4 linked regions of the Caenorhabditis elegans genome follow. The protein of the gene in region 2 interacts with the protein of the main gene of each other region in a pairwise test. Each region holds a gene or a part of one and is shown on either strand. Other genes may lie near its edges.

Region 1 (5,538 bases), on a different chromosome or scaffold from region 2:
AAATTGCCGGAATTGAAAGTTTTCGGCAAAATGGCAAATTGCCGAAATTGAAAAGTTTTGGCAAATCGGCAGATTGCCGGAATTAAAAATTTCGGGAAAACCGACAAATCGCAGGAACTGAAATTTCCGGCAATTGGCCGGAATCGAAAATTTCCAGCAAATCGGCAAATCGCCGGGAGTGAAAATTTCCGGCAAATCGGCATCTTTCCAAAATTAAAAACTTCCAGAAAATCGGCAAATTGTCGGAATTGAAAATTTCCGGCAAATCGACAAATGGCCGGAATTAAACATTTCCGGCAAACATAATTTGCTCTTTTTTGGAATTGCGGTATGTTGTTTTATCTTTTGGATACGGGTTTCAATCAATAAACACCATTAAATTTTTTTTCTGAAAAGACGTCAACAAAACCAACACGCACAAAACACTTTTCTAACCTGAAAAATTCCGTGTGACCGAACAAAAATTCATTGCAAAAACTTTTAATTTCAGACTTCCTCCTCACGAAATGCGCTAAACTCGAAATTCTTGAAATAGTTTTGATAACAAGTAACATATTTATAAGATCGATTGTGATGAGAAAAAAACAGTTTAAAAAAAACATGAAATTGAACTAAAAAGATAATAATCAAAGTTATCAAGAACGTTTAAAAAATTGGCTCAGGCTTTGGATCCATGAGCAACTCTTCCGGCTTCTTTTCCATGTGCGTTGGCGGAATATGTTTTGGCTCACTCGGTGCGGCGGCCACTTGTTTCGCAAGGTGAGGATTTCGGTTTCTCACAACTTTAATCATGCGTCTTGGTGAGGCAGATGTTGGCTGATTTAAGAGATCCGTTTTATTCTCTACCGATTTTCTTGTTCGGTAACTCATTGAACCAAATGCAGTCGTTAACATTCTTCCTAGACGGACCGCTGGTTTCTCTACGTTCGTTTTGGTTGGTGGTTTTTTTTCAACGGGGCTCGAAGATTCCACGTGGGTAGGTTTGTTTTGAAGAAGCGTAGGTACTAATTCTTCTTCTTCTTCTTCCTTTTGAGGCGCCCCAAATGATTGACGTATTCCCTCCATCTCGGATGAGCTTGATGAGTCTGTGGACGTAGAAGGCTGGTTTTGTGCACGTGGCGCTGTAGTCAATGCGTCTTTAAGAGTATTAGTGCGAAGAACGACATTCCCTTGAACTACAACTTTCGGAGGTCCGGTTCCGTTTTCAAAACGCAAGTATTTCTTTCCATTGACAACACAGAACTTTAGTGGCGCAGATGGCGGAGTGGGGGAGCTTGGCTTCTCACCAAATGCATTACGAGCATAAGAAACTTTGGATTTGTGCAAAAGCGCCTCGTCGGCAATTGAATGACCTTCCAAAACACGCGTTGCTAGGTGAACATAGTCAATTGGAGTTTTCGTTTTTTTTGCGTTCCATGAGATACTCGATGATCCAGCATCATCCTGTTCAGGCGAATGAAGCTTTCGCTTTCTGCGTTCTACAGTGTTCTGCATCTCACTTTGATTGGGAATATACGGTTCACTAGGTGCATCTTCACTGTGATCTCGATAAGCTTTTGCAGCTGCAGCAGCAAACTTGTTGTCAAGAATATCCTCGATTTTCCGTCTCCGAGATGTGAAACGATTATCTTTCCCATTGATGAGTTGAATGAGTTCTTGCTTATCAGCATCACTGAGGCTAAGATTATGATTCAGCAACTCATTTAGATTCGTCGATGGAGGCACCTTAAACGAATAATTTTTTAAATTTTTTTAAAATTTTCACAAGTGTCACAAGACTCACCGATTGCAAAAGCGCAACCAGCTCTGAGAACGGTTTGGGAGACGGTTTACTGAGAGACCCATTGACCATCCTTGGCACGTGGTTACGGTAATAAGATTTAATGGAATTCTTGAATGAGTAAAGCGGAGTGTTCGACGTAACCTTCCCTTTGTGCAGGTCGCCGACTCTCTTAAAACATTTCACCGTTGTAGAACAACGAGATATGACAATCAAACCTTCAGTGCTCTATAGATATCATGGCCACGCATCAATCTGTCCGGTGGCATCTCATTGATCTCGCTTTCCGTTTTAGCTTCAAAGGCGTCGCACATCATTTCGTACTGAAAAAGTGGTGTATGGTTTTTTTTAAACTAAAATCTCTAAACTAAAAGGGGGCAGGATAGCTCAGTCGGTAGTGGTGGCCGCTAGCAATCTGGAGGTCACAAGTTCAAGTCCAACCTCACCACCTAGGTTTTCATCCAGCCTCTATTGGTAAGTAGAGCAGTCCACGATAGGATTATCGGCCACAGTCCCCGGCTAGGACGTGGCTTAAATTATAACTCAGTGGGAGCACCACCTGAATCCCAGATCCGTAGTGCATAGGACTTGAAGAACGGATCGTCCTTTAATTCTTGTTTTCTAGTCTAATGTATTAATATCGATCACATATATAAAATAAAATAGAGGTTGTACTAAACAAAACACCAAAAATTTTGAACTTTTGCCATGAAAATTATAAATAAAATTAATAACTTTTAAATTAGAATTTATGTTCTAATCAGCTTTAGAAAAGTTTTCACAGCTTTTCAAACTTAACTATTTTGAAAAAAATACTGAACAACTTACTACAAAATCAACATGATCATAGCACATCCTTAGCCTCTCATGACGAATCGCTTTCTCTGCAGTTGCCATTCTAAAGTGGCCAGACATCACTGCCGCCATCAAAACTTTCACAGCTTCGTTATCAGTCATTGCAATGCTTTCTCGCATTAAAAGAGCCTTCTCGCAGAGTATGCACGGAGTCAGATAGGTACAATACGTGTAGTCACTCGGTTGAGATCCCTCTCGTGTGGCACGGGGTTTCGAGGGGCTGGGTTCACTTGGAAAGTGTGAAAAAATTTCCGCGCTACTTTTGAATTGTCCCTTGCTTGCAGCCGCCGTCAGAACATCCTTCACGCTTTGCGTTGGTGTTGAGTTTGGAATTGTATTCGCAAAATGCTTCATGATCGAAGCAGACTCAGCTGATTGTTCTTCAGTTGCTGAAGCTTTTTTCTCTTGGAGCTGAAACCATATACGCATTATTATGAATAATCTTCAAACATTTCTGCTTACCAATCGAACAGATTCCATTGACTGGGTAGGTGTTTGTATTGTCTTGACTTTTGGAATTGTCTTTTTTTCAGCTTGTACATTGGAGTTTGGCTGAAACATTGAAGATAGAACACTTCTTATTCAACCTTATCATGATTCAAAACGACCGAATATCATAATAAAACACTCCAAAAATTTTTAGATCTTTCATAATTTCCAGTCAAAGTTTTGGCATATTGCCAAAACTATGAAAAATATGAGCTTTTGAGGAAATCCACAGCAATGTCGCATGTTCCGACCCCAACAATGTTTTAATACAAGTAGGCAAAACAAAATTGCATTTTAAATGTAGGAGAACATTTTTTTGTCGACTTCCAAAATTATGATTGGCAAACACTGAATGATTGTCACTTTTTGACAGTAAATAAAAAATTTTCAAAAAATGTTTGAAAAGTTTTATTTTGATATTTGGTCCTTTTGGCACTAAAGGAGTAGTTTTTAACAATTTCCCCACTGGCGCTACTCCACCTTTAACTAGATATATCAGAAAATGGGAGAAAATCCTTAAAAAGCCATACCTCTCTTTTGACACCAACAACAACTGCGGCAATTGGGTTGAAATGCCGGACGAGCTCCTGGAAACATGTGAGCTGCAGAGCATCCGTTCCAATGCCGGCACTTTTAACAAACTTCATCGCTAGGGCATTGCATTTCTTGTTGAAAGCCATCCGATCGTTCGCCAAGCTTGACATTCGCATAGCATCAACGTTTTTCATTCGAAATTTTCTTTTCGCAATGATTTCTTCTTTTTCATCTGCCGAGACAACATCTTTAGCTGGAGCCGCTGGAGCCAACATTAGGAATCTGAATAAGTGATAGTGTATGATAAGCAAGATAGGAAAGTAAAGGAAAATTGTCATTTGGTGATGTGAAACCATTTGGAAAGAATTAGAAAAAAACCAGTTGGCATCAAATTTCGGTGAACATTTATAAAACTGATATAAAACTACAAAATATAAAAATGATGAGATCATCTCATCATTGTGAGGTTTCAGATGAATGATGATTAAAATAAATAGGTAAAATAAAAGTGGTAATTTTAAGGGCAATCAAAGTAACAGGGTAAAACTATGCGTATGACTTAATCATCAAAAACATCAATGGAGAAAAAATTATATATAAAAACAACAATCAGGAACGGTGGATGAAAATATTTCCACTTATTCGTTGCTGGGTGGTGTGGGGGTTGGCAGCTTATTAGCATCTTTGCGCGGTCGTCCGACTGGCTGAAAAAATATAAAAATAATTCAAAGCATATATTTTTCAAAAACTCACTCTTCCAGCAATCTTGGGCTTTTTAACAATTGGAGATTCTTCATACTCTTCCTCCTCCTCTTCCTCATCAGCAAAAGCAAAGCTTCGTCTAGCAACAGCTTGTCGAATCAATCTTCCACTTGGTGTTTTTTCAGGCACGTATTCGCAATCTTCGCCGACAATTTCTCCGTCTTCGAGTTGTACGTAACCTTTCTTAAGTGCACGTCGTTGAGATGTTCCCGGATTGTAGTCGTAGTCGGTGAGGCTTTTTTCAGCTTCTGGTGTTACACTATTCTTGGGATACTTCCTTGGGCGCCCTCTTGGGTTCGGAGTATGAGCAGGTGGTGTTACCAAGTTAAGAGGTCCATCCTCGTTTGACAACTCCCGCTTTCTATAGGTACGTTTTATCACTGGAGCATTGTTGTAAACTGCTGCTTGACTGGGCTCGTCGTCTGAAGTCTCTTCCGTTGGGGATCTTGACATTTCTTCATATTCCTCTTCTTCTTCTTCTTCCTGAGTATATTCAACACCGTCGGGGTTTAACATATTCGCCAAATCAATGGCTGAATTCTTATCAGTTCCAGACTTGCGCTCTTTGAGTTTGAGGAAGTTGTTCCCTTGAATGATATACGTGGTCTCAACTTTTTCTGGAGCAGCATCTGGAATCATTCCTTTCAAAAGTCTACCACGACTGCTGAACGCTGCATCTGGGAAATGGCTTCGGCAAATTAGGTTTTCCGTATTGGTGTGAAGTCGGGCTTCAAATTCTGGTCCAAGCTTATCCACCCATCTAGCCAAACGTTCCTCACTTCTCGGGACACGAAGCATTCCACCTCGGTCGCCACGTTTCGAACAGAAGCAGCAAACGCCCGGATTGTCGCATTCCTCATTTTCAGACGGTTTGACAGTTGGGAGCTTGAAATCTTCCTGCTCTATAACCTTGACAGTTCCGTCATGCTGATCAGCTTCCAGAACTTGCTTGCGTGGCTGGCGAAAGAGTTTCGGTATGATTTCTTGCTCATCCACATCGTTTCTCTCTGGCTCAGGTTCGGGCTCGCGGTAGTCAAAGTATTGTTGTCCAAGTTTCTTCAATTCCTAAAAACAATTAATTTGTTTCAAAATGTGCAATTTTAAAAACGGAAACTTAC
Region 2 (3,297 bases):
CGGCCACCGGACGTGTTTTGATGGCGATTTTCGGTGCTCCATGAGTTGGGCTCGCTGTGGAGGGTCGGGCAGCGCCTCCTGCAGATGATGGCCGAGATGTTTTCAGAATTTCCACTTTTTTCATCTGGAAAATTGCAAGATTTTAATAGAAATTTTGAAAGTTTTGCATACATTTTAATCAAAAAATTCGCTCAAAATCCATGCGGCAGTCTGAAAAGAGGTGTGCGCCTTTAAAGATTACTGTAGGAATTTTATTGACTTTTATTACAAAAACCTCGTAACAACGCATAAATTGTTTGGAAAAACAAGTGAGAACTAAAAAAATCAAAACAAATTCGGCCTGGAAATTACAGTACACTTTAAAGGCGCACACATGCTTGCATTTGGCAAATGTTTTTCGTGTCGAGACCGGGCGCTGTATCTTTGGCGCGAAAATTTAGAAGATTGTAGTTTTTCTCGGTAAAATACTGAAACGAAGCCTTTTGTACTTGTTTCTCATACAAATAATCTGGAAAACAAATAAATAAGCTGAAAAATTCATGTACAATTAGAAAATATAAGGCGGAAAGCGAAAAGGCGGGGGGAAGAAATATTATATTTTACAGAAATAAATTATGCATCCGTCGAAATAACGGACATCCCATCGGAAACGTCGACATCATTCAGAAGTTGATCGCAAATCTGTGAGAGCTCCGACACGCGGTTCGTGAGCACCTTGATCTCGTCGTTCTTGCTGGAGAGCTCGATTTCCTGGCGTTTTACACGCAGACGGAGTCCCTTTGTGTTCTCATCGTGGGATCGGAGAAGATCGTCGTACTCCACGGATGCTCTGAATTGAAATATATTCTTACATGTTGCAAATTAAATTTTCTCTCACTCACCTCTCAAGCTCAGAATTCGCATTATCCTTGACGGCGAGGAACTTTGCCTGCCACTCGTCAACTTCGGCGGCGGCGAGCTTCAGCTTGTCCCTCGCGTCCTCGTACTCGCCGCGGATGTCGTTGGCGGCTTCGCGAACCGTGTTGAACGAGGCGAACAGTGTCGCGTAGTTGGCGTGGAGCTTGTCGGCTTCGGCACGGGCGGCATCTCGATCTTTCAGCGCTTTTTCGAGCTCCTCGCTTGATGCCCCGCCGCCTCCGATGCCGTTTCCTGGCGTTGTTCCGTTGCAGCGGCCTTGTGAGATGATTTGGCCGTTTGAGCAGCGACGGACTTCGAATTCTGAAATTAATATGGTTTTATTCCTCTTAAAATCTCTTTTAGCAATTTTTCAAAGCTTCTCACCATCCGAGTGCAAGAGCCGCTCGATCAACTCTGTGAGCGCCTTCGTCGTGTGCTTCATCACAATGATGTCGCCTCTCGTGGCACCGCACAGTGTCTCCACTGAAGAACTGGGCTCCGCGGCTTCTTCAACCTCTGGCTCCTCGTTCTCCGGATGCCCATTTTGCGACCCGTTGAATGGGATGACGACCTCGGTTCCGTCCTCTTTGGTGAAGGTTGTGTTGAGCGACATCTGAAAATCGGATGAATTTAATAGAAAAAACCGACATTTTTCGTGAAAAACGGAGAAAATTAACGATTCTTCAGTTTTCCCGCGTCATCATTTATTTTCGTGGTAGGAAAATTGTTTTGAAGATTAGTATGCGCCTTTAAAACTTCTGTAGTTCAATTTTCTTGTTTTACAAGGCTTTACAAGAGGGTTTCAAAATAATTGAAACAAATTTTTAATTAAAAAAGTCATTTTTTAATTTTTAATTCAAAAAAAATCAGTAAAAACCATAACCAACAACAAAAAAAGCACGAAAAAAGAGTCCACAAGAGTAATCGTGGCGGGAAAATCAATACAAAAATTGGACTGCGCCTTTAAAAAGTACTGTAGAATTTTTTTAAAAACATTTTTTGTTATCTTTCAATTTTCAATGTTTCTCTTCATTTTAAACTATTTTAATGATTAAAAACACATCTTTATTGCGAAAAAAATTAATATAATACACTTTTGCATAAAAAACCGCCAAATAAAAGTGCAGTTGGCCTAGAAAGCGCTAGGTCAGAGAAGGGAAGCGGCCAGGACCTTATTTTGTTCATTTTTATTAATTTTCACCTTAAAACAGAGAAAAAAACAAAAATATTTGGCAATTAAACAAAATAGAAATTAAAAGTAATTAAAACTTAAAACTTCAGAAAAAAATCGATTTTTCAAAAATTGCGAAATTTTGAACAATGTTTGAACATCCTTCTCTCTTGAAAAATATAGTTTTTCATTTTAATTTTAATTCTAATTTTACAGCTGCCAAACTAGGTACAAAATGGATCTTCTCAACTATATCGAACGAATTGGAGATGGTTAGTTAGCTTTTTTTCCATTTTTTTATTAAAAAAATTTTTACCAGATGTTTTTTCAGATCCACCCTCACCATCACGGGTAGCAAGCTTCCACCAGGAAATTCAAATTCGATTTCCATCGGAATTTCTAGAATGGTCGAATTGTGAAGCTGAACAAGAAGGTTTTTCAGAAGCTCCAGAAGCTCTTTCCCTACCCCAAGTGCCTTCTACCTCGGGCTCTGGGAGCATTTTTCAGCCGATTGCTGACACATTGCTTATATATTTTCCAGATACGTTTGAGGTTGATTTTCGGCTAAAAAATCAAGTTTCTAACCTATTTTCCTTCAGACAATATCCCAAAACCTTCTACAAATGTTGTGCTCGACACGTTCCGATATGGATCTACAGGGCGAGCTCATCGATCTTCTCGGCGTCGAATTGTTCGAATTAGCCGGAGATATACTCGAAAAACGGAATAAAATAGTTTTCGAGGTGAAGAGCCAGGAGCTGGCGAAAGTTGAGCATGCGAGGCAGGCGAAGGCGAAGGTAATAGTTTTGAAAATTTTAAAAATTTGCTCTAAATGGCAGAATATAACAGTGAAAAAATTTATAAAAATTTTCTAATTTTTTTTTGATTTTTTGAATTTGGTTTTCTGGCTGTTTTTTTTATTTTTTTTCCATTTTTTACAATTTGGAACATAATTTGTCAATTTTTCGGACATTTTTCCACAAAAAACGTTTTTCAAAAATTAAATTATCGATTTTAGGCTAATTTTAGAGTTTCAACAAGTTTTTTACGGAAAAATTTCTGAAAATTTTATAAATTTTGTTTAAAATTGTGACATAACGAAAAATAAAGAAAAACCAGATAAAACAGTCGGAAAACGCAAAAAAGGCCAAAAAGACCAAAAAGCCAAAATCAGGCCAAAAAAAAGGTCAAAAGAACTGATTTTTTTTGAATTCCAGAGTAAAAAAAGT
Region 3 (7,858 bases), 6.3 Mb from region 2:
TTGGATTATTTTTGAGATATTCCATATACTCATTCCAAGATCGGTCACTGGATGCAATGAGAATATTCAGTTGCTCAATATGTTTAACTGCCATCGAGGTATCACGCAGAATATTGTCGATCGAAACTTGAACGCCGCTTCGCACTACAACTGCTTCATCCTCTTGTGGCATTCTGGCTTCCAATGTTCCAGGCATGATAGGATCAATTTTTCGTTCTCTCATCATTTGTAAAATCTTGTTGATCATACTGGTCAAGTGCATATGTGGTCGAGAAAGACGACGGGCAGCATCCAAGACGACGTCTCCTTGCTGAAGGATAACCCGCTCCAAATAGTTATCAACTATCAAAATGTGTGAATCGCTGATGTCCATTTTAAGTTCTGTGAGTGCACAAACGTAGAAAGCATTGAATGAGTCGACTATATCCGAGGCTCTCAGTTGAGCTCTTCTCTTTTCAAGTTCATCACACCATTTCGACGAGAGCTTCGACACAAGTTCGGTTATACCGGTGTTCATTTGAAGTGATTCAGTCATTGCCAGAATCAATCCGCACAACAGATTAGACAGCTCAACTCTGTAGATTAATCGCATTGCCAGTCGATTGAGAGATCTTGCCATTCCGTATCCGGACTCTGTGTTACCGATTTGGATGATACATCTGAGGACCGAAGAGATGATGGCTTTGACTGTGTCGGGGGACGCATTAAGTGGCTCAAGGCCGTGCTCAGTTTCGACTCCTCCCATCAACTGAAAAGATAAATTTGGATATATACATATACATGGCATGACTAAATGAAACAAAGAGAGCCAGATATATTTCGGAACTCCCCTTGATTACTATGACATATGAAAAATATAACTTACAATGAAAAGCATTTGCGTACAAGCGTCCATAGTTCCACTGACATCTCGTCCAGCATTGAATTCTTCAATCACCAAATCTAATTGAGCAGCAGATGCACGAAACACCAAATCGGCACGTCGATCAACAAGATGACGTTGTTCAGGTTGATTAAGAACATAAGTGACCTGGAACATAGCATCTTGAGCAACATCTGCAAGACTGCTCGAAATATTGTTGATGCTTCTTTGGATTTGATCAGAAGTGTCTATGGAGGAAATCGACGATGAAGAATTGGTCCGCTTCATTTGGAAGGTATTGTTTGACCAGCCATTGACAGGTTGTGGTGGAGTGATGACTTGAGTGCCATCAAGACGGCCCATGGCTGACGAAAAGACGTCGTCACGAAGTGCATAGCGAGATGAAGTTTTTGGAGGCATTGTGTCTTGTCGTATAGTGAAGGTGTCGCTTTGAACTTCTTCTGGTTCAGGTTCACGAGTACGAGATCGAGAAGCAGGACGACGAACAACCGAACCCTGAAAAACATGTAATTTTTCGTTTTCTAAAAACTGAACGAAACTTCGCGTGGGTATCGAATAGGGAATCACTACTAACTCCAAATATTTGAGACAAAAAAAAATATTATTTACTTCCAACTCGTAAGACTGTATGGCCGATTCAAGTGATCTTTCAGGGAACCTGACTCATTACGAGAAATATTTTAAACAACTAACCTGTTGTTGTGGCACTAAAATTTTGGGTCCTCCAGTTGGCGGCGAGGTGACAACACCAGATCCCGGTTTCACTCCTGTTCGTTTTATTCTTTCCTCAACCAACGACTTGTCCTTATCTGCCATTCTTCCTGCTGCTTTCCACATTTGATCACCTTCAAATTTGAAACAAGCCACGAGAACATTGATAGCAGCATTTCGGACGTTGACATCCTTGTCACCAACAAATGGAGCAACTGTTTTTTCGACTGATAACGATTTCAGCGGACTTATTCCAGCATTTGTAATGTAGTATTCAATGACTAGCAGACACTCGGAACGTTGGCGAGCGTTTTTCGACTTCAGCGCATCTGAAAATAAAAATTACTAGAACATTATTGATCTTCTTCTCTCATACCAAGTAGCATGGGTGTCATCTTGAGTGGACCGACAACATCTGAAAGTACATTGACAATATCCCTGACAGAAGTTCTCATATTGTCTTTGGCTTCTCCTGTCTTCAATAACAAGTATGGAACAAATGCAGACACCTCTTCTTGTGACATTGGAGTTTCTGTATCCCGAATTAGCTCCACAATAACTTTGCACAATTCCAAAACTTTGATAAGTGCGGCCGGGTTGGTCTCGAAAAATCGCAAAGTGCACCATTTTAATAGAAGATCGCTGTTGGATAGAAGAGATCGAGGAGATGTATCGGCAAGGCGAACCAGAGAATCAAGAGCCGCAAGATGCTGCTTGAAATCTTTGTGGAAAAGTTGACTCATTAGAGACACTTTCGCTTGGTTTCCGAGCAGGGTTTGAAGTTGCGAGATATGTTCATCAGTCGGAGCTTGGAAATTCCATTTGACTAACTGCAAATTAATTAGAATGTATGATTATTAACTCATTTAAAGCAATTACTTTTAATTGCTTCTCTTCCTTGATTCGTTGCTTTTTATCCTCGTTGTCACTGAGCAAAAGTTCGGCTTTTGGTGCAACAACGGGAGGCTCGTTTTCTTCGTTCTCCTTCACGGGAACTTTCTTCTTCTTATCGCCTGGTGGTGGTTTCAGGGGCTGAAAAAAAAATAATAAAAAATTGTAAGTTTTCAGTTTTAAACGACCACACAATCGATACAAATTACTATATGGAAATAAGAACACAATTTTAATCACCTCATCCTCTTCCTCGACCACTTCCTCATCTTCCGGTTGTTTCTTCGGTGGAGCTGTTTTTTTCGGTGGTGCAGCAGCTGGCGGAGCCTAAATTTGACAACACATTCACAATAAAATTACAAATAAGCAGTACAAAAATCATCAGTGAATACTTCTAAATACTATCATTACTTATATATAAAAAAATAATTCCGTTTGTTCCATAGTTTGTAGTCTATGTAGTCTTTGTAGTCTGTGACGTCACACCCAAAGTCACTGAGAATTGTGGGCGGGGTCTGTCATCCTTCGCGGTGAGACTCATCGTGGCGAGACCCATCGTGGTGAGACCCATCGTGGCGAGACCCACCGTGGTGAGACCCGTCGTGGTGAGACCCATCGTGGTAATACCCACCGTGGTGAGACCCGTCGTGGTAAGACCCAAAATTTTGGCGGGAAATTTAAATTTTCTGTGAAAAATAATTTGGCGGGAAATTTAAATTTTCTGTGAAAAATATTTTGGCGGGAATTTTAAATGTTCTGTGAAAAATATTTTGGCGGGAAATTTAAATTTTCTGAGAAAAATATTTCGGCGAGAAATTTAAGTTTTCTGTGAAAAATATTTTTGCGGGAAATTTAAATTTTCTGAAAATTCTAAAATTCTGGAAATCTAGAATCTTCTGGAAATTTCGAAAAAATTCTCGAATGTTCCAGAACTTTCTAGAAAAATCGAGAAAATTCTGGAATGTTCCAGAACTTTGTAGAAAAATCGAGAAAATTCTGGAATGTTCCAGAACTTTCTAGAAAAATTGGGAAAAGTCTGGAATGTTCCAGAACTTTCTAGAAAAATTGGGAAAAGTCTGGAATGTTCCAGAACTTTCTAGAAAAATTGAGAAATTTCTGTAATGTTCCAGAACTTTCTAGAAAAATTGGGAAAAGTCTGGAATGTTCCAGAACTTTCTAGAAAAATTGGGAAAAGTCTGGAATGTTCCAGAACTTTCTAGAAAAATTGAGAAATTTCTGTAATGTTCCAGAACTTTCTAGAAAAATTGGGAAATTTTTGGAATGTTCCAGAACTTTCTAGAAAAATCGAGAAATTTCTGTAATGTTCCAGAACTTTCTAGAAAAATCGAGAAAATTCTGGAATGTTCCGAAAAATTGAGCTTAGAGCTTTAGAAGAGGTAGTTATTCGGGAGTTTATGGGGGATCAAGTCAAGGTACTGTAGTGTTACTATAGGGGTACTGTAGGTATACGGTAGGGTTACTGTAGTTTTGGAAAAATTGGCATTTCGTCCTTTGAAGAGGTATTGGGTTAGGAGTCGGTGGAGGATAATGTCAAGGTACTGTAGTGGTATTGTAAGGTTACTGTCTTGGTCAAAAAATAACAGAAAGTTTTCATACTGTCTGTGAATTTTTGAAACATGCATGTCGTAGAAAAATACATACATGTAACAGTGCCAGTAAACCGCGTTTTAAGTGTTTCAAGTTTTTTTCATGATGAGAAATTTTTTGAGTGATTGAAGGTATGTGTGTCAAATACTTTTAATGGTGCCAGGCGTTGCCCGCGCCGTAGGCGCGGTCAGCGGCTGGTTAATAATAATAAAATAACTCACATCTGCTTTGTGAATCGATTTGACCATTTCAGCAATCTCTGCGGGCCCAGCTTCATCCAACGCCTTCTGATGAAACTCCTTGATTTTGCTCATTTTCAGATTATCCGATGCAATATCGGCGAGAAGTTGCAGAGAAGGTTTTTCTCCAATGGCTCTCATCATTGCTCCCATTGCAGCGTATGATGCTTCACGAACTTCCGAATCCGAATCACCAGAATGTTTTATCAACGACGGGATCAGCGTCTTCAAAGTCTTCTTCGGCATGGTCTGTGAATTCAGTTTCATGAAGCATCGTTGAAGGAAAAGATCCGTTTGAGTCTTAATGCTTGGATTTGGTTTTCCGAGCGCTGCGAGTACGATTTCTCCAACTGCTTCGAGATTTGTGGTTGCAACAACTGCATCAATGCAAGCAACCAGCGGATCACGTAGAGTTGGTTTCTTCTCTTTGAACTTCTCAAAAATGATTGGAGTCACAGACACAGCAAACGGCTGGAACTTCGTACGGAGACCATTAGCAATACCAGTTATACAATTGGCCGCTAGTGCAGCCACATTGATATTTGCATCTTTCTCGAGGACCTTAATATTTGAATTTAAAATAATTTTTCAGGACAAAATACACATACCTTCTGCAATCTCTCAACGAGTGCGCCATAGTTTGCCTTTGGGTCGAGCTTCGGATTCGCTGTGATCAATTGAAGCAAACCTTCAAGCGCTTCTTTTCGTTCCTGCCATTTCTTGCTTTCGATGTTGGTATCAAAACCGTCGGGCATTTTGGAAAGTACGTCGAAAGCGTCAAGAAAATCCCAAGGATCGGCTTCCGCAACTGGAGCTCCAGATGAAACAACAGCAGTTGCTGTTCCGCCGGATGGATCTCCCGAAGCAGCACTTGCCGAAGGTGTCGAAGAAGTGGGAGCGACTGGTGGAGCATTTTTAGCTTGTTCTTCTGCGAAGCTAGCGGTTGATTTTTCAGCATATTCCCCAATCTTTTTCATTTTCCCTTCATCGGAAGAAGCATCGCCGAGGAGATTTTTAACGTTTTTGTCTCCAATGATGCGCTGAACAGCTCCTAAACCTTGAAGAGATGCCTCTCTGACATCTTGATCTGCATCGCCAGTCAATTTTCCAAACACAGGCACAACAGCTTTGATGAATCCTTTTGGTTGTTTTGCTGGAACCACCAAATCTAACTGCCGAGCCACAAAAAGTGCAGTCTGTTGCTTGATCTGAGGATTTGGTTTGGCCAGCGCCGCCAAAATGTCTTCCTGACCAGTTTCCAAAGATTGCATTGTACGGCCGACTTCATTGGAACAGTCTACAAGAGGTTCTCGGAGCATCGGCTTCTTTTCTTTCATTTTTTCGAAAATGACGGGAAGAAGTGGTCCTGCGAAAGAAGAGAATTTTGCACGTAATCCCGTTGCGAATTTTCCGATGCATTTGGCTGCAAGCGCTTGGCAATTGATGTTTGCATCTTTTGCTAGAACCTGTAAAATGAGATTGCAGAAATGACCGAAAAATATGAAAACCAACCATCTGCAGATGACCAATAAGTTCGGCATATGAAGCTTTTGTTGAAAGTCGCTCATTGTCCGTGAGTACTTTGAGAAGTGCTTCCAATGCCTCTTTTCGTTCCTGCCATTTTTTGGATTCTCGCAGCTCATCGAAGTTCGGTGGAAGTTTGGGAAGGATATCCACCTCGTCCAGATAATCCCAATTGGACATTATCTGAAAAATGACAGTTTACTACGTGCCTTGCAATAAACAAAGAAAGCGAACGAAAATAAGTTTTGAAGAGAAAGGAGATTTCAACAATAGATTTCCGGTGGAGAACGTAGAGGGAAAAAATCAATATTTTCGAACTGCGAGGGGTAATTGGGGTCACATGGAACTTTTTCGCCGCAAGCCCATTTTCGACCGATTTCGCAACCCGTCAAAAAGAAGCGCAAACAGAGAAACAGAGGCGGACGGGCCGGCTCAGTTGCACTACGCGGCAAAAAAAAAGAAAGGACAAAAAATCAATGAATTCTTTATACAACTTTTTGTTCGAGCCAAGTGAATACTAAAACACTACGCAGATAATAAATTTGATTAATTAGATAATGGAAGTGCTTCACAAAGAAACAAAATCTCAAAAAAAGGACGAAACATCTCGAACAAACGCTTAACACTGTGCGACAAACACTGAAAAGCTTAACTTGCGACGACAAATTATTTAAACAATTTAATGATGAGCTCACATGGGAACAACTGATATTCATTGAAAAAGTGCGAAAGCGAGAAGGTTTCCGTTGCGCTTTTCAAAACTATTTTCTACCGCGCGTTCGAATAAAAATGTCGTCAAGTGGCATGCTTGATACGCAACGCGCGCGTAAAACGACGGGGCTGTCAACTGCGTACTGAACAAGAAAGGAAACATTTTCTAAAAAGCTCTGTTAAATAGCGAAATTTGGTCTTAAAAATAATTAAAGCGCAACGAAGAAATGTTTATTTCAAAAATACGAATGCAAAATGAACAAGAAGTGTTTTGGAAGGGAGAATTCGCGCGCTTAAGCCATCGATCAAGGTCAATTTCAGATATGGAGACCGGGAGATGAAAATTTTTGATTTGTAACAAGACAAAAATGAGCCTACGCCTAAAAAACGCGTTTGAAACGCGAGAAAAACAGGAAATTTGGCGCCAAAAATGCTGTGCGGTCTCGACACGACAAATTTTTGATAAATGAAAAAGGTGCGCGTCTTTAAAGAGTACTGTTGTTGCAAACTTTGGTTACTGCAGATTTTCTATCGATTTCTCAAATACCGTATATTTCCTATTAGCGCTGCATCTTCAATAGTACTACAGTCTCTAATAATGTGTGTTTTTGTATATTTTTGATGGTTTCTTGTTAATTTACAAACATCATATTTATTTTCTGATAATACTGCAGTCTCTAATAGTGCTCGAAAGTTAGTGTTGTATGCAGCACGCGTAAAAAAAAGGGCCCGAAAGTTAGTGTTGCATGCAGCACGCGTTTATTAAACCTTTTTTTTTTGAATAAAAAAATCTAAATTTTAACAATTCGTGAGAAGAAGCATGAAAAACCCCTATGGTACTTTTGCTTATGTTAATTCGTGTTGTCTCTCGACGTGGATCTCACAAAAAAAACGTCCATCGTACTTCTTGGAGGCTCTTATCCTACCAACGGTTCCTGAAAGCTGGTGGCTTCTGGCGCAATATCATATAATTCACGGTGAACTCGAAGATAATATTTTGACTCTAAATAAAAATTTTCACATATTTTGTCTCATCGAAAATTCGTCTATAACACAATAACATACATATAAACATACGGTATAAAAGAAAACAATGTATCATGAAACAGTGTCAGTTGAGTCAGCGAAAAAGTCGTTCTTCTGACGATGTCGAAGAACATTCCATTTTTTGTACAAGTACGTTTTTCTTTTATTTCAAAACTAGACAACATGTTGAAAAATCATTCACAGTTTTCTTTAAAATTTCCAACGTAGGACATGACAATTGTTGTAGTATTTGATCCCAGTTACT
Region 4 (4,934 bases), on a different chromosome or scaffold from region 2:
GTAGAAAAGTAATAACATTTTTCGGTAGCTTTTAGTGTAAAATTTGAAAAAAAAAGCACACACAATTTCATTTTTTCTAAAAAAAATCCAGCAAAAAAGGTTACCTCCATTCGATCGAAGATGTGGTGAAAGTGTGGATATTTGTGGTGACGAATTGTACGAATGATGATGATTATCAGTTGGCATTGTGAACATTGCACTACGAAGACTTTTTGCAACGATCTCCTCGTTCGGAGATTTCATGTCGTTTGATACTACTGAACAAAAAAGTTTTCAATGTGAAAAGTGCGAAATTTATGCCATTTTAAATAATATTTAAATTAAATACGTTGATGTGTTCTTGGAAAATGTATTTTATAATTTTTTGAAAAAAATCGGCAGGAAAACTGATTTTTTTCAAAATAAGAGAGCAATATTTTCTAACAGAAATCTAGATTTTTCTTAAATATTCAAATTTCAAAAACTAAATTTATTTTGTTAGCGTTTTTCAGCTTATTTTTCAGCAACTTTTCGTTGGTTAAAATTTAAAATTAAATGTTTATAAAATCTTTAAATTTCTATTTTAAGTTTTCTAGCACTTTATAGCTCGATTTTTTCCATAAAGATCTCAAATTTCAAGCAAAAACCCCAAGTTTCAACCTAAAACCCTCTTAAATGAGTGCTAAACAACCTCTAAACGGATAAAAATGTTAGTGTGCAGTCAAGTGAGAGAACATTCAACACAACAGAAAAACACAGTACTACCGGGTGGCCTGAGGAGGAGGGTGCTAACGCAAATAAAAATGTGTGAATGGAAATTGATAGAAAAAAATGTGGTGGCGGTGGAAAAAGGATAGATAGAGAGACAGAAAACATTCCCTATTATAACTGTGCCGATCGCCTCCGGGAAAGCATTCTAGAAATGAAATTTGTTTCGGGTTTTTCTTCGAATTTTGTGCAATTCGAAGCTATTCTAAAGAGTAGAGGGACTTAAAAGAATTTTCCGATTTTTTGGCTTTCATACTTAAGTAGACTGAAAATGGCTAGAAACGGCCGAACATCATAAGGAGATTTTTCAAAATTTCAGTTTTTTGGGGGCGGAAATTTCCAAAAAAGGGCTAAATATTGCTTAAGTTTAGAATTTCGCAAAACTTTTCAGTGTCAGAGGCAGGGAATCAGTTTTTTTTTCATTTTTTGTATATTTTGGTGATCTAGTTTGTTGATTTAGGTTAGCAATTATTTTTTTAAAAAACACTTTTATTGAAAAAAAAACCATAAATTGGAAAATATATTGTTTGAATTATAAAACCTCAAGTTTTAATCCAAAAATATGGAAAAATCAGTTGTTTCGATTTTAAAACACTTTAATTTGAAAAAAATTTCAATTGTCCGTGTTTTAAGGACTAAAAACTTGGTAAGAAAATTGCAAAACAAATTGCAAACATTCTGATTTATCAGGACAAAAACATGCAATTAGTCATCAAGATCGTGAGCGTTTCTTTTTTTTGAAAAAAATTAGCCATATGTTTTTATCGGTATGTTTTAATTTCTAGAAATTTTATAAAAACAATTTTTCTGTTTAGAAAAAAGGGTTAAAAATCAATGGAAAATCGTAAAAATTGTGAGATTTCTTCTTCTTCTTTTCGAAAACTTTTTGCATCCAATTAAATCCAGATGTTTCATTTTTTTTTCGTTTAAAAATTTCAAAAGCTCACCAATAAATTGTTCTTCATCAACAACCATCACTTCATCATCATTTTCATTTGGTTTCTTCTGATTCTCTTTTTCATCAGTAGTCATCATTACAGTTTCTTCTTCACTTTCCTCTACATCAGTGCTCTCCATTCGTTCAATTGGAGCTGTTTTAAGCATTCGAATAGCTGTTGGTGAAGACTCTTCTGACGTTTTTCGTGCCAAACTACCACGTCTTTCGATTTGGCTTGTTGAAACTGGAACTTTTAGAACATTGGAATTAAAAGATAGAAAATTATGGAAAACAGTTTTTTCTAATTTTTTAGAGCTAATATTCAAGTGATTTCTATAAATTGAGCCGAATATTCCAAATTTTCAGCTTTTTTTTTATAGTTTTCAGAGTTTTCAGAGAATTTTTTCAGAAATTAAATATAAAGTTTTCAGGTAAGCTGTTCTGCTGACACTTGCACCTTTTTTAAGCTTTCAGAAAAATTTTTCACAATTTTTTTTGTATTTTTCGTCGGAACTGGAACTTCGGGCACATTATATATAACTTTTAAGCCAATTTGAGTATAAAATGCTTTTTTTTTTAATTTTGCAAAATTTCAAGCGATTTTTACGGAAATCTCAGCTTTTTTTGGAGAATTTCTCACATTTTTTTCGCAAAAGCCGTAAAGTGTTACCTGGAAGTCTTGACAGTTTCTGGGCCGCCGCTCCGTTTCGATTCATCGATGGAAACGAAACTCCCGCAGAGGCGGTGGCTCTTGACAGCTGATGTGGGTGAATGCTCGATGCAACTGTGGTACCTGGAGGCAGTTGGTCGCCGAGAAGCTGAAAAAAGAAGGGAAAAGGTTAAGAAGAAACACTTTTTTTCACTCAGGAGGGAGGGATGAAAAGATGAGGGCATTTTAAATTTATTGGAAAACCACAACTTTTATGCCTAAAAAATTTTTAAAAAAAATTTTGAAAAGAAATTTCAGTTTGAGGCCTCAAATCGCAGAGCATTATTTCAGAAAAAAAATATATTGAAAAATAGTTTTTTTTTTAATTCTTCAAAAAGGTCTTTGGAACATTTTAATGACCGAGAGCTGGAAAAATGAGAAAAGTTCAACTGTATACATTTTCCAAAAACCAAAATTTTTGCTATTTTTTGGAAGAAAAACATTTGAAATTTTTAATTTTTTCTAAAAATCAAATCCAAACCTTTGCATAAGTGCTCGAAACGTTCCGATTAAGAGAAATGAGCACATCACCGGACATTACAAAAGCCTCGGACTTTTTGACATTCCGGCGAGGGGCTCCATCAATGGTGGCCAGTGCCTCTTCGGCTCCCGACGACGCCACCTTCGCCATCACTCTGAAAACGAGATGATTGTAGAATAAAAAACGTTTGAAAAAGTATAGAAAAGGTGTCAAGAGGTATAATATTTCGATGACGAATTCAACAATGACCATCAGAGTGTTTATATAAACACGTGATGGAGGTGAGTTTATTTTCAAAATATTCACAAGCGGAAGCAACAAAAAAACACTTCAGCACCGTAAATTTATTCGAAAAGTTCCCTTTTGATTTTAGCATTAAAAAATAAAAATTTGGAGGAGAATTTGATTTTTTTATAAGAAATTCACAACTTTTCGGGCTAAAATGCTTAATTTTGGGCCACTTTCGCTAATTTTTTGTGTATTTTTTTTTCAAATTTCCTTATTTTTTAATGTAAATATTTTATAAACTAAAATGGTGTTTATTTAAGTTTTTTAGCATTGAGCATGAATAAGAGAGAAATTGATACAAGATGCTTTGCGAAAAAACACCAAAAATCGAGAATTTTAGATCAAAACTATAAAAAAATAAATGCACACTTCTTCTCACGGAGTACACGAGCTGCGTAAATCGACAGTCTCAAAGATTACGAAGTTTGAAAGTTTGTGCTGACAGTAAAAGATTTTTAGAAATTGCGATAAAATCGCTTTCTGGAAAAGCAAATTTTTCCGAATTATCTAGATTCTTACACTCAATTCGAAAAAGTACAAATCTTTTCAACAAAATCATAAAACTCTGCACAGCTGTTACCACCGGGACGACGTCACACCTCATTCGTCTCCTCCTCCTCCTCTTCCATCACCTCCCTGTTTGCCCATCAGATTGTAGTGTTGTATAATAAAATTCGAGATAGACAGAGAGAGACAGAGAGAGAGAGAGAGAGAGAGAGAGACCTGGTGTGGAACTAAACGTCCATTCCTCCCCGCTGTGCAGAAGACAACAACTGGTCGACTCCCGAAGGTGCGTTTTGAGCAATCTCGCGAAAAGCTGACAGTTGCGCGGAAGGATGGAACACATATTTCCGCCGCGCACACTGATCAGTCAGTTAACAAATATTGTCTCCAGAACGACGCACCCCAGAGAAAGTGATTAGGCGGTAAGGAGGGTTTTCACACCTCACCCCCGTATCATAAAGTTTCTACGGAAGATTAGCGTGATTTGGAGCTGAATTGTATGAAACTAGAAGCTCCAAGAAGGTTCTTGACGTTCCAAAACGTGGGAAGGTCGGAAAAGCGATACTTTGTGGAATTTGGAACGAAAAACTTATTTATGCGAGTTTGTTGCATTAAAGCTATCGAAATTTGCACAGGAATCAGCAATTATAGCGATCAACGATTTTTTCAAAGTTTTCGACAATTTCGATTTCAGAAAAATCGAGCTATACTGAAAACTTTCCAAGATAGATGACGCTAAACCAATTTCGATATAAAGCCAAGCTAAAGCAATTTTTAGCTCTCGTATGTGGTGCGAGGCTTTCCGATTAAGGTTTGATCTACAAATAATGCTGCAATTTTGCCCAAAAAATGTGACTCTTCTCCCGCATTTTTTAAAGATCTACGTAGATCAAACCGAAATGAGCCATCACGTGCTCTCGTCGGCAAAAACGAAAGTACAACGGAACGAGTATTACAACTCGAAGGCGAAGAAGAATCTCCATTGGATAATTGGTCCCTCGCAGAAAGATGAATGGACTTAGAAAACTACGGAGTACGAAACAATTTGGTCTACACCTATTGTTTCAGAATGTTTTCTGTAAAACTAGCGATTTTGTGTAAAATCGAAAGGCGAGGAGACACACAACGAAACAACTGGCAATATAAAACTCGATAAAATTGGCGAGATCCTCTTCTCTTGACCCTAATAGGCTAATCCACTTGATGCCAACACCAACCACGAATGCAAAGTTTTCGATAGAAAATGTCGAACTAACAGGTGTGCACAC

What was found.
Region 1: the proteins of tac-1 (region 2) and lin-15A interact in a two-hybrid assay, tested with the Caenorhabditis elegans proteins (2 studies listed by BioGRID).
Region 3: the proteins of tac-1 (region 2) and zyg-9 interact in binary tests that used the Caenorhabditis elegans proteins (3 or more experiments, as listed by UniProt).
Region 4: the proteins of tac-1 (region 2) and efa-6 interact in a two-hybrid assay, tested with the Caenorhabditis elegans proteins (one study listed by BioGRID).

What each region holds. Positions count from the first base shown.
Region 1 is NC_003284.9:15,730,370-15,735,907, reverse strand, and holds lin-15A (Protein lin-15A), read right to left. Parts: upstream 3,941-5,538; 5' UTR 3,934-3,940; coding exon 3,655-3,933; intron 3,188-3,654; coding exon 3,098-3,187; intron 3,047-3,097; coding exon 2,609-3,046; intron 2,104-2,608; coding exon 1,999-2,103; intron 1,952-1,998; coding exon 1,784-1,951; intron 1,726-1,783; coding exon 646-1,725; 3' UTR 543-645; downstream 1-542. Other genes in the region: Protein lin-15B, read right to left, coding at 4,297-4,362, 4,412-5,485. UniProt on the Caenorhabditis elegans protein: Synthetic multivulva (synMuv) class A protein. SynMuv proteins are required to repress the induction of vulval development.
Region 2 is NC_003280.10:14,752,366-14,755,662, forward strand, and holds tac-1 (Transforming acid coiled-coil-containing protein 1), read right to left. Parts: upstream 1,513-3,297; 5' UTR 1,511-1,512; coding exon 1,282-1,510; intron 1,219-1,281; coding exon 882-1,218; intron 830-881; coding exon 613-829; 3' UTR 526-612; downstream 1-525. Other genes in the region: smg-9 (Nonsense-mediated mRNA decay factor SMG9), read right to left, coding at 1-124; Y54E2A.4 (Activating signal cointegrator 1 complex subunit 3), read left to right, coding at 2,304-2,340, 2,400-2,620, 2,668-2,865. UniProt on the Caenorhabditis elegans protein: Involved in microtubule formation, polymerization and assembly, regulating microtubule nucleation and length. Plays a role in pronuclear migration and mitotic and meiotic spindle elongation during early embryogenesis.
Region 3 is NC_003280.10:8,455,999-8,463,856, reverse strand, and holds the start of zyg-9 (Zygote defective protein 9), read right to left. Parts: upstream 6,040-7,858; 5' UTR 6,037-6,039; coding exon 5,845-6,036; intron 5,799-5,844; coding exon 4,941-5,798; intron 4,894-4,940; coding exon 4,315-4,893; intron 2,813-4,314; coding exon 2,726-2,812; intron 2,627-2,725; coding exon 2,474-2,626; intron 2,425-2,473; coding exon 1,971-2,424; intron 1,924-1,970; coding exon 1,577-1,923; intron 1,379-1,576; coding exon 866-1,378; intron 749-865; coding exon 1-748. Other genes in the region: F22B5.6 (Serpentine Receptor, class J), read left to right, coding at 7,714-7,743. UniProt on the Caenorhabditis elegans protein: Plays a major role in organizing microtubules and spindle poles during mitosis and meiosis in one-cell stage embryos. Required for default nucleus positioning in oocytes.
Region 4 is NC_003282.8:12,611,696-12,616,629, forward strand, and holds the start of efa-6 (Exchange factor for Arf-6), read right to left. Parts: upstream 3,030-4,934; 5' UTR 3,025-3,029; coding exon 2,875-3,024; intron 2,503-2,874; coding exon 2,355-2,502; intron 1,935-2,354; coding exon 1,695-1,934; intron 258-1,694; coding exon 105-257; intron 1-104. UniProt on the Caenorhabditis elegans protein: Guanine nucleotide exchange factor for arf-6. Involved in response to injury in mechanosensory neurons. Inhibits axon regrowth via microtubule dynamics, possibly by inducing axonal microtubule catastrophes.